3 linked regions of the Sus scrofa genome follow. The protein of the gene in region 2 interacts with the protein of the main gene of each other region in a pairwise test. Links are inferred from orthologs where the notes say so. Each region holds a gene or a part of one and is shown on either strand. Other genes may lie near its edges.

The links.
Region 1: the proteins of HOXA1 (region 2) and SLIT1 interact in binary tests that used the Homo sapiens proteins (3 or more experiments, as listed by UniProt). The link is inferred for Sus scrofa from reciprocal best matches to the Homo sapiens genes HOXA1 and SLIT1.
Region 3: the proteins of HOXA1 (region 2) and RGS17 interact in binary tests that used the Homo sapiens proteins (3 or more experiments, as listed by UniProt). The two-hybrid records come from large-scale screens. The link is inferred for Sus scrofa from reciprocal best matches to the Homo sapiens genes HOXA1 and RGS17.

Annotation. Positions count from the first base shown.
Region 1 is NC_010456.5:108,453,467-108,457,112, forward strand, and holds part of SLIT1 (slit homolog 1 protein), read right to left. Parts: intron 3,095-3,646; coding exon 2,957-3,094; intron 1,405-2,956; coding exon 1,167-1,404; intron 1-1,166. UniProt on the Homo sapiens protein: Thought to act as molecular guidance cue in cellular migration, and function appears to be mediated by interaction with roundabout homolog receptors.
Region 2 is NC_010460.4:45,476,216-45,479,961, reverse strand, and holds the start of HOXA1 (homeobox protein Hox-A1), read right to left. Parts: upstream 2,402-3,746; 5' UTR 2,303-2,401; coding exon 1,648-2,302; intron 1,167-1,647; coding exon 811-1,166; 3' UTR 1-810. UniProt on the Homo sapiens protein: Sequence-specific transcription factor. Regulates multiple developmental processes including brainstem, inner and outer ear, abducens nerve and cardiovascular development and morphogenesis as well as cognition and behavior.
Region 3 is NC_010443.5:13,339,821-13,343,566, reverse strand, and holds the start of RGS17 (regulator of G-protein signaling 17), read right to left. Parts: upstream 2,567-3,746; 5' UTR 2,509-2,566; coding exon 2,321-2,508; intron 1-2,320. UniProt on the Homo sapiens protein: Regulates G protein-coupled receptor signaling cascades, including signaling via muscarinic acetylcholine receptor CHRM2 and dopamine receptor DRD2.

The sequences.
Region 1 (3,646 bases), on a different chromosome or scaffold from region 2:
ACTCAGGAGGTAGCACCTGTCCCTTGAGCCATGCAAGCAAAAGCTGGAGCTGTACCTTAGGAGGGAGAACCCTCTGCGATGCTGTAGGAGCCATGGTCTTTTTTTCTGCCTTGTCCCTTTTGGGTCAAGACCCTGGCCCCCTGGTCTGTAGAGCTGGCACATGGCCCCATCTGGACCAATCATAGCATCCTATCTCCCTGGACTCAGTGGTGGGTCGGGGATGGGCATGTGACCTAAGGCAGGCCCACCAGAGATCTTCCCTGCGGTTGTTGCCTGCTGTCCAACTAGAGCTGGTGGGAAGAGCCCAGTGATGGGGAGGGTGGGATAAACTGAGCATCTCCAAGGATGTGCCTGAGGCAATGGCTGGGCAGGGTCTTGGTGAGTTTTATTTTGTGGAGCAGTGAGGCTAGCGGTGGTCTCGCTGTGTAGACCATATAAGTGGAGAGGATTTTGGAGAGGGGATCAAGGGTAGGACAGCAGAGTGAGTATGTCTGAGAGGTGGAAGGGTTCTGAGAAAAAAAGGAGAAGAGGACAAAAGAAAGGAGAGAAGAAGGATGCGCATTTGGGATGGAATTTGGGGAAAAGAGACAGATGACTAAAGAGGAGTTTAAAATTTTGTATCGTGTCATGTCCAGGGCAAACTACTCTCCTGTGCCAAGAAATACTTGGCTAACATAACACTGCTGTTGAAGTGAGACTTGCTTCTATTTCCCTCATAATGATGCTCTGAGATGGGATTCAGGACATGGAATGGCAAAATAAGGGATCCCAGGGACATTTGGGACATGTACATAGACATAGAAGCCAGGGCTAGCTGTGGCTGTGTTCCTGCCACATAGAGAAGCATGTCTGCAGCTCGGGAGGCTCAAATTGAGGCTTTGAGGAGTTGTTGAGACAAGAGTTTGGTGGGAGAGGACCCCGGAAGTTTGGTTTTCTGGGTCCAGTCACCCATGCCCTTCTCTGAGACTGATTTTGTGACCCAATAACCTTTCCAGCTGAGCTCAAACAAGTTCAAGCTGAGATCCTGATACCCACATCCAAGAAGTCTGGACCAGCTCAGGATCCTCCCAGCCATCCTGGGAGGGATGCATCTTGATGCTCTGACCTGAGGCCAGGAGCCCCTGCTGCCTGACCACCTTCTGCGGCCGGGCGCCCTGGGCACGCACCTGCAGCGTGATGTTGGCCCGCGGCCAGTTCTGCAGGTCGGTGAACTGCAGGTACGTGTCGCGATCCACGAAGTTGACACTGAGCAACTTCTCACACTCGGGGCCGCCAAAGCCCGGGAGGCACTGGCACACGGGCCGGTTGCCCTGGTCCACACAGTTGGCCCCATTCTGGCACTCAGTCCCCTCACAGGGGCTCCTGGGGGTAGGCCGGTGGGGAGGGGTCTCACAGAGCTGCCCACTGAGAGGGAAAGGACACAGGTCAGAGGGGACAGGGCCGGGGAGCAAGGAGTCATCATCTCTCTCCCACAGTCCTGGAGAGAAACTCACTAAACATCTTGGAACACTGTGCCTTTAAAGCATCAGATGATGCTCCTAATAAACACTTTCCCAGAGAGAACTAAGAGCCAGAAGGATGCTGAGAAACAAGTGTGGTCCCTGGACCAGTGGCAATAACATTGCCTGGGCACTTGTCAGAAATGGGCTCTTGAATCTGGCTTTTTTTTTTTTTTTTTTGGTCTTTTTGCCTTTTCTGGGGCCGCTCCCGTGGCATATGGAGGTTCCCAGGCTAGGGGTGGATCAGAGCTGTAGCCTCGGCCTACGCCACAGCCACAGCAACACCATATCCAAGCTGCATCTGCAACCTACACCACAGCTCACGGCAACGCCGGATCCCTAACCCACTGAGCAAGGCCAGGGATCGAACCCACAACCTCATGGTCCTAGTCGGATTTGTTAACCACTGAGCCATGATGGGAACTCCTTGAATCTGACCTTTAATAAGATCCCAGGTGACCTGTGTGCACCTTAGTTTAAGAAGCACTCACTGCTCGTGTCAACAAACTCTGCTAGCAAGTTTGACTATACCCATTTTATAGAAAAGAAAGCTGCGACTTAAGACACAAGCGAAAGAGAGAGGACTCTATAGCATCAAATAATCACAACAGCCAAAAAGAAGAAACAACCCAAATGTCTATCAGTGATGAATGGACCCATACGACGGAATATTATTCAGCCATAAATAGGAATGAAGTTCTGTGACATGCTACCATGTGTATGAACCTCTAAAACATGATGCTAAGTGAAAGCCAGCCACAATGGACCACAGATTGTATGATTCCATTTATACAAAATGTTCAGAATAAATAAATCTATAGACACAGATGTTACCGATTAGTGGTTTCTAGAGCTGGGATGGAGAGGGGCTGTGATGACAGATAAGAGTGTGGAGTTTCTTTGGGGTAATGAAAATATTTTAAAATTGATTGTGGCAATGGCTGCACAATTCTGGGAAACTACGAAAGCCAATGAATTGTACACTGTAACTGGGTAAACTGTATGGCATATGAATTATATCTCAATAAAACTGCTTTTTAAAAAAAGACACAAGCAGAGCATGGGAGGTGGGTGGCCAGAAGGTGGGCAGGTGCCCTCCCCTCCCAGCCTACCAGAGAGGCCAAGATGCAAAGGTAAATGACCTTTAATGCAGGACATGTCTTCAGGGGTTCACTGGGCAGCTAAAGGATGGGGCATTGCCCAGTAATCTGTACTCACCTCCCACTCTGCCCAGCAAACAGGTCAGGGGCCCTTTGCCTTTGCTCTGAGCTGCTAAGAAACTTTCCCCAGACCACACAGATCGTGACTACCCCAGCCAAGCTTAAAGCCCCGGGACCCAGCGCCCAGGCTCTGACCCTTACTCCCTCTTGCTAGCCACACCCGGGGGCTCCTGCCAGCCCCAGAGGCTGATGGCTAAGAGGAGTCAGTGGCTCGTGATGGATCCAGGGACTGCTCACCTGAAGCCCTCAGCACAGACACAGGTATAGCCGTTGACTTCGTCCACGCACTGGGCCCCATTCTGGCAGCGGTGGTCCCTGCAGTCATCCTGGTTCTCACTGCAGTTGTCACCTGTGTAACCTGGTGCACACTCACACCTAGGGGTGGGCAGGGGTGGTGGGCCATCAGCCCCACACGCAGCACAGAGCTCAGCCAGGAGTCTGTGGGGCCCTGGGGCTGTGTGTATGACAGAGAACCTCATGGCCCCATGGGTCTGTGGGGTCCCCCAGGAGATCACACAGAGCCCTAGCTGTCAAGACGCCCTCACCTGTCCTGGGACCCTTTTCTGCTCCAGGAAGAGAGCTTGTGTGGGCTGCCGGCGGTGGGGGGAGGGGGGACTGGAGGGCTGGACACCCAGCAGCTGGAGGAGATGGACCCTTGCGGCGGAGGACCCACCCTCAACATAAACATCACATCCAAGGTCAAGCTTCAGCCCCTTTTCAGCCCACCCACCTGCCCCCGCAGCCCCAGTGCATGGCCTTGAGTCCTGTGGGAGCTCATCCATCCGCCTTCCCCAGCCTCCCAGCTGCACGGGTCCAGCCTCCCGGGGCTCAGATGTCAGAGCCTGCCTCTCCACAAGCTCCTGACTCCAGGCCAGGCCCCAGCTTGCCAGCTCCCACTGTGGCTCACCACTCACCCGGGTCAGTCCA
Region 2 (3,746 bases):
GAAAGAGTGTGGCCAGAGAAAGGAGAAAGGCGTGGGGATGGGGAGAGACTCAGCCCAGGGAGCCAGGTTTCTGACCCTTTATGCTGCAGGCTTTCTTAACTTGCTGAAAGAACAAACGGAGGCGACCCTCTGAGGCCTCTGATTGATTTTACTGGGAGCTTTTAGTCTTTAACCTATAATCACATACAAAGTTGTACCAGCTTAGAGAGTTTGCCCACCCTATTTTCATCCCTTAATCTAAACATTTCTAGAAAATCTGTATAAAGATAAATCTTTCAGGACAAAGTATTTACAACCAGCAGACTCACACACATGAAACTGAGTTAAATTAAGGGGTGAATTAATTGTGTAAACACGCTCATAGTGCATCTCTTCCTCATGAGCTCCTGGACTCTCTTCTCTCTCTATCCTACTTTAAGGGCAGAGTAGGGGAGAACTGTAAATACACGGTTAGATATAAGATGAGAGGCCTCCCTCTGACATGTTTCTGCTGGCAAAGGAGACTATTTTCCAAAGGGCATCTGAAAGGAACTGTAGGGTCTGTCAAAGAAATCTCCTAAAACTAGGGGCGTTAGGGGCCTTGAGAAAATTGATGTTGGCACTCAATTTGCATTGCGGAGCTAGCACTCCCCTGCCCCCACACCAGTCTCTAATCCAGAATTCACTGGAAACACAGTATCCTGGCCAGGAGTTCCCCAGATAGGATCAGAGAGGAAGAGAGAGATTGTAAATGGACAGGAAGATAAGCTAAGAATGTGCTTTGGGAAAGAAGTCCCAGCCGGAAGAGTCGAGTCTGGGGCTGGGGCGGCCTCAGTGGGAGGTAGGTAGAGTGTCTGAGGTAGCAGACCCCGGGGAAGGAACGCAGGGCGAGGAGCTGGACTTCTCGGAGGATTCCTCGGCCTTCTCCTCACTGCCCGGTGGGGTGGCTGGAGAGATGGGCAAGAGGCCCTCCTTCTCTCGTTTCTTCTGCTTCATTCGGCGGTTCTGGAACCAGATCTTCACCTGGGTCTCATTGAGCTGCAAGGACGCGGCGATCTCCACCCTGCGGGCCCGCGTCAGGTACTTATTGAAGTGAAACTCCTTCTCCAGCTCCGTGAGCTGCTTGGTGGTGAAGTTGGTCCGCACCGCGTTGGGCTGACCCACGTAGCCGTACTCGCCAACTTTCCCTGAGGGCAAGGGGAAGCGATGGGGAAAAAAGGGGAAAAAATTTATATTCGATATGAGAGTCCCTGTAGGCTTCAGAGCAAGATTCAGGCAAAGGGGGAATCAAGAATTTCTCAACACAAGCCGGGCTTGGGAGGGTGAGTGATGAGGTGTAAAGCGTTCATCTGAAGTCACCCATTAGCATGGTCAGACCAGTGATTAATGGAGCCTGGAGATATTAACACACACATACACACCTACCCACTTTCCCACGTCCTACTTCCAAAACCTCTAAAACTCAGCCCCCTTGGAAACACAACAATCCCAGATGTTCCTTTGTGCCAACCACACCTGGGCAGCCTCCCAACACCCTACAACACCGGTGGGAAGCAAGAATTTTAAAGAAAAAAACAAAACAAAACCTTGATTAATTTTCCTTGGAAACTAAGCATACCGGCTCCTTCCTGAATAATCAAGGATCATTCATGGAAGGGCAAGACTGACCTGTTTTGGGAGGGTTCCTTTTGACTTTCATCCAGTCAAATGTCTGCGCTGGAGAAGACGTCTCTGATGCAGGGGAGCGGCAGGCTTCTTGGTGGCTGGCGTGGAGAGGGGACAAGGAGTTATTATACGTGGCCAGGGCCAGGCTCTGATGCTCTTGTCCATATGAGTGGTGAATATATTGAGGCGAGCCCACCGCGCCCCCGGCATAACCCTGGTGGTGGTGGTGATGCTGGACCATGGGAGATGAGAGATTTCCAGAGTAAACAGCGGGAGCGCACGTGGGGTACCCACCACTTACTTCTGCTTCCTGATTTAACGCGTAGGAGCTGTAAGGCGCGCCAAAGTTCTGCGCGCCGTAGCTTGGACCACAACTCGAGTGGGAGTAGGACACCCCCAGGTTCCCAGGAGTCTGGTAGGTGGCCGGCTGGGGGTGGTGATGGTGGTGGTGGTGGTGGTGGTGGTGGGGCGGGCTGATCTGCACCCCCCTGCCCACTAGGAAGCGGTCGTCGCCGCCACAGCTATTGGCACTGACCGCGCACGACTGGAAAGTTGTAATTCCATGGTCGGAGGGGTAGGCTCGCGCTGAGCAGGTCCCCGAGTCGCCACCGCTGAGGATGGGGTATTCCAGGAAGGAGCTCATTCTTGCATTGTCCATCTGTCACTGAGTGACCGGGTCCTGCGAAGCCCTGAGTGACCGTGCCAACTTTCTCACTTCCTCCATGGGGCCGGAGAAGAAAAATGATATGAATGTACAGTGCGCAAGAGGGGGGGCGGGAGGGCGGAGGGCGCTAGGGGAGGGGCACGTGACTCTCTCAGCCAATGGCGGAGCCTCCTGCGAAAGTTTGCTGGCTCCTGCGGTGATGGATCACCCTTTCAGTGGCATTTAAATCCCCGGCGCTCCTCAGTCTAGGTGACGCGCAGTCGCCCCCCCAGGCAGCCCGGGCGGCAGCAGCAGCTGCGGCGGCTGCAGGGGCAGATTCCCAGCGTTGGGGCGAAGGGGAGCAGGGGCTGCCTTCTGCGAGTGGCCGACTCCGATCGCCCCCCTCCGGGAGGTGGGGGCTGAGAGCCATCCTCGGTCACCGCCCCCCTCCCCACCGTGCACAGAAAGAGGAACTGGCAAGAGGTGAGACGCCAAGAGGGCTCCGCGCTCTCTTGGGTCGGGAGTCAGTGGGAGGGAGCTCGCTGGGCCGCCACTTGCACACTGGCTGAGCCCGGAACGCGAGGAACTGGAAGGGTCGCTCCCCGGGCGCTTTCACTGCCGTCCCTTCTGTGATGCCTTGGGGGCAGTGAGGAGAGCCGAGAACGGTGGCGGGGGACGAGGCTGGGCCACCACCAGGTCTCCGGAAGGAGAGGGAAGTGCGCAGAGGGCTGGCTGGGGGAACCCGAGTGGGCGTGGAGGGGACAAGCGCAAGAAAGGAAACTTCCCTCTCCCTGTAGGGTCTTGAAGCCCCCGTTCCTCCCCCACCCCCACGAGCTGTTAGCGTGGCAACGGGGAGCTGCTGTAATTCGATGCTCGGGAACGGGTGAACCTTGGGAGCTAAGCTTGCCGGAAAAGGCCGGGGGTGGCCCGGCTCTTCGCCCTCCCTCTCTCCTCGCTCTCCGCCCCTTTCTCCTCCCCACTCAGCTCTGTTCTGGGAGCCCTGCGGGATCCGGAGCAACTCTGCTGCCGGATTTTGAGGGGTAGGAGGCGGGGGAGAGAGATGACGCTAGCCGACGTGGCCAGCGTGGGGGCCGGGCCGTGCGCTGCAGGCCATCTGCCGGCTCCCTAGGACCCAGGAGCCTGTGTACACCGACCTGGGCCTCAAAGGGCGAGACCACAGTGAAGTACGATGAACTCCCCCTCCACCTCCCCTCCCACCCCGCCACCCCCAGAAACGTTTCTCGTTTCCTGGAGGCGAATGTTAGGCGTGCTAGAGCTTCCTTCATCCACCCCCCCCCCATTCTACTGCACAGCTGAAGTGGGGGTGGGGGCTGGCAGGTGGGAGGGGCAGTGGACAGATGGCTGATGGTGGACAGGACATTTTCTTCTTCCCCAACAACACCTCCTCCCTTTTGTAAACTGGCTGTGTGGTTCCCTGTGTGAACCTTCAAGTCCTTCC
Region 3 (3,746 bases), on a different chromosome or scaffold from region 2:
TATTTTGGAGGCCACGCCCATGGCTTGTGGAAGTTCCCGGGGCCAGGGATCAAACCCGAGCCGCGGCATCGACTCAGGCCACTGCAGTGACAACGCAGGATCCTTAACCTGCTGAGCCACACTGGAACTCCAGAACTGTTTTATTTCTTTAAGCTTACCATAAAAACTTAAAATATTTTTGAGGATCCAGGATACTCCCTGAATATGTCACAATTCTAAGTCTCTATAATGACTCCGTGCTTATACTCGACCTGTAGTAATCAGATGAAATAAAATGGTTTTTAACCTCACATAGTTATTCTCAACCACTGGGTATACAGTGGTCCTTGCATTTGCCTTTCTGGGTGGTGCAATATTTTCATTATTAACTAAGCAGAGCTGGACTATCAAGAAAAGGATTCTCAGCAGAAACGCAGTTGGATGGGTTCCATTCCTCTTGGCTCCATTTCTCCTTGTCCATTCCCACCTTTCACTTTTCCAGAAAAACCCATGCCTTTCAGCAAATAGATTTCTAAGGAAGGCCACTATCTCTACAACTGTAAATTAGCAGGTAAATGCTTTCTTACTTTTTAGTCTATGAGCCAACCGAAATTTTTATCGATTTAGTTTTTAGATTTGGCTGTTATAAGGTCAAACGGATGAGGATACACACATTTGTCCCTTTTTTCAAAGCCCCTTGCCCTCATGGTAAGACAGGTTCAGGCATGTCTTCATCATCACCATCTTCATCACCACCATCATCAAAAAGTATAACAAGGCCAGAGGAATGATAATGACTTAGACGCTAACATTATGAGTTCCAATAAGTCAGGACCCTGTAGGAAAATTTCCTAAAAGCTGAGAGAGAATCTATTTGTGAAGAAGAAGCTGTATGACTTAAAATTGAACAGGAATAGCGGATAACTCTCCTAGTTAATTCTTTTCCACAGAGACTAAACACCAAGGAGCAGTTGAGGAACCAGAGCAAAAAGGGCAGCATTTGGAAGAGCAGACACCTCTGTAAAGTAGGAGGTTCTCTTTATCTTTCAGACCACAAATTCAGGAGGAAGGATGAGTTGTCCATGGCTCTGAGATCAGGTATCATTGCCATGGAGATTTATCTTATTTAACCAACGATACCATCTAATCCTTTTGTAAAAACAAATACTTGTTTTCTCATCTCTAAAAAGTGTATGTTTTCTCTAAATACAGTTTTTAAGAATGTAAAAACAGTGAATAAATCTACTCTCCTGTGAGTGTGCTAATTACTGTTTTAGTTCATGCTAACAGAAGAAACAGCTTGATAACAGTCACTTAAGTGGAAGAGGTCAAACTGCTCATTCATTTGATGAATGAGTATAAATCACCTTTCCATTAGATATTAGTGCAAAACGTATATTTCATAGAGACCTGCTATTGTTACCACCAAGGACTTTAGAAACAAATACAATTTACCCAAAGTGTTTCACAGTTTTGAAAAAAGTATTTAATACACATAATGCCAAGCAGCTATGAAACCAGGAGAAAAACATTATTTTCCATTACAAGAATACAAATTGCTTCTCGTTTCTCCAATTAAATGATTTTCAGAGGGTTCATCACCCGGAAAACCAGAATGTATGAACGCCGGAAATGCAGATGACATTCAGTCTCAGAAATGCTTGCGGGAATCCAACTACAAGATTTCTCTCTATTACCTGCGATAGCCATCACATGGAGGAAATAGGCCGGCTGTAAAACAATTTTAAAAAAGAAGAAGAAACAACTGCGGGAAGATTGCAAAGTTCTCTAGACAAACCTTCGAGTGACTGTTTTAAAGAAGGAAACCTTTATCAAGGGTCAGAGAGGTTAGGAAATCCACTATGCCAGGCGCCGGGGTCAGTCTCGCCAGAGCGACTGAGATTGTCCCAGGTGAGTGGGTGTCCCGGGTGGAGGCGGAGGGAGTAGGGCGGGTCCCCACACCGCGGGCATCTTTTTGGACAGGCGACCCTTGCTCTGCCTTCTGAAGCCCAGCGATTCCCGAGGCCGGCACTGGGCTGCCCGGGACACCCTGCCAGCAGCCTCCCGCCTGCGAGGACCACCTCCCCATCCTTGGCTTCTCTAAGGATGAAGAGGCCAGCCCTATCTCTCCGCCATCCTCAAGTCCTCCGACATTTTTCACAGAGACAGGGAGGTAGGGAGTAAAGGAAACGGCCGAGTGTCTGCACCCAGCCTCTGCCGCAGCACATGAAGAGGGAGAGGAGGAGGAAGGCTGGCGAGTAAGCAGCTATGAAACCGTAATTCTAGCGATTATACAAAGAATCATCATCACCTACAGAAAGAGAGTCTCGGATACACCCACCTTGGGCAGTGGCTGGGGGATTGGTGGGCGTTCCACCTCCTCGCCCCCTCGAAGGCTGTGAAATCTACCCGAAGCCGAGCACACGAGAACTCCCTCTCCATCGACCAAAGGAGCGGAAAGAACAAAAGAGGCCCCCACCCCCTAAATACACACACCTCAGATGTATTACCGATGCTCAAGGTAGGCATTTCTGCACCCCCTTTGGCTCACACCTCCCTCACCTGCATTTCCCCAAAGGTAAAGGAAAAAAAAAAAAAAAAAAAAACACCCCGAGGTGATCGGTCGACTGGACACTGTTAATTTCACATTCGGTTTTCTAACAAACAGCCACCCAAATCGGCAGGACCTCGCGCCCCGCGGGGTCTCCCGCCGCCCTTGGCCCTCCCTGTCGAATCGCCGAGGCGTCCAGCTCTCCGCTGAGGACCCGACTGTGGGCAGGATCCTTCCCTGGGCGGGCAGGACACTTGCCCAGCGGGTCCGCAGCAGCCGGAGGGCGACAAGCGGACCGCGCCGAGGCTACAACGCGGGATTCAACTTCCCAAACCTGCAGCTCGGCCCCCGCTTCCTCCCGCGGTGCTGCGGGCTGAGCGGAGACCCCCAAGCCGGCCGCCACCCTCTTCAGAGCACAGGCAGTTGTACTCTCCGCCCCCTCTTTCCTTCACCTCCGCACTCCCCCACCTCTAAAAAAATTCAACCACCGGTGCAAAGCAGACATTTTGATGTCATTTACTTAGCGCGGCTCGGTTTCAGAGGCAACATCTTACCCAGTCGCCTGGAGGTGTGGGCAGCGCACCAATGCGTCCGGGGGCGCGAGGCTGGGCTGCTCGGTCCTCTAGCAGAGCCGGTTTGCTGCCATCCGCCCAACTTCAGCACCCAGCGGGCGAGGAGAGAGCGACAGAAGCGAGGACGGAGGGGAGGGGGAGGGGGGAAGGATGGAAAGGTGGGCGGGGAGGGAGCAGGAGCCGCTCGGTAGCGCGCATGCGCCCCGAGGGCGGGCGCAGCCCCTCGCCCCGCTCGGCCGGAGGTGCCGCTTCTGCCTCGGGCGCGCGACCGAGTGAGTCACGGCCCCGCCCCTCCCCGGCCGCCCGCCCCCCGCGCGCCCGCCTCGGCTCGGCGCCCACGGCGCGCAGGGGCTCGGCGGGGGCTCGCGCTCGGGCGCCGGGGGTCGCGGCTTCGCGGGCGCTTTGGAGACCTGGGAGCCTCCCCGTATGAGAGGCTCTCGTGCCCAGTCTCCTGCAACTTCACGGTCACCCCCAGCCCGCGTTATTTTATCCTGCGCTTTAGGAGAACGATTGAAACCAGAAATCTGTCTTTAAGGAATAAAACAGCTGCAGCAGCGGGGTCCTAGAGGATGCAGTCTCGGCGCGGGTGGGGGGGCGGGTTCAAAGAGGTGTGAAGTTAAGCGAGTGTGGCTTAGCAAAGGACT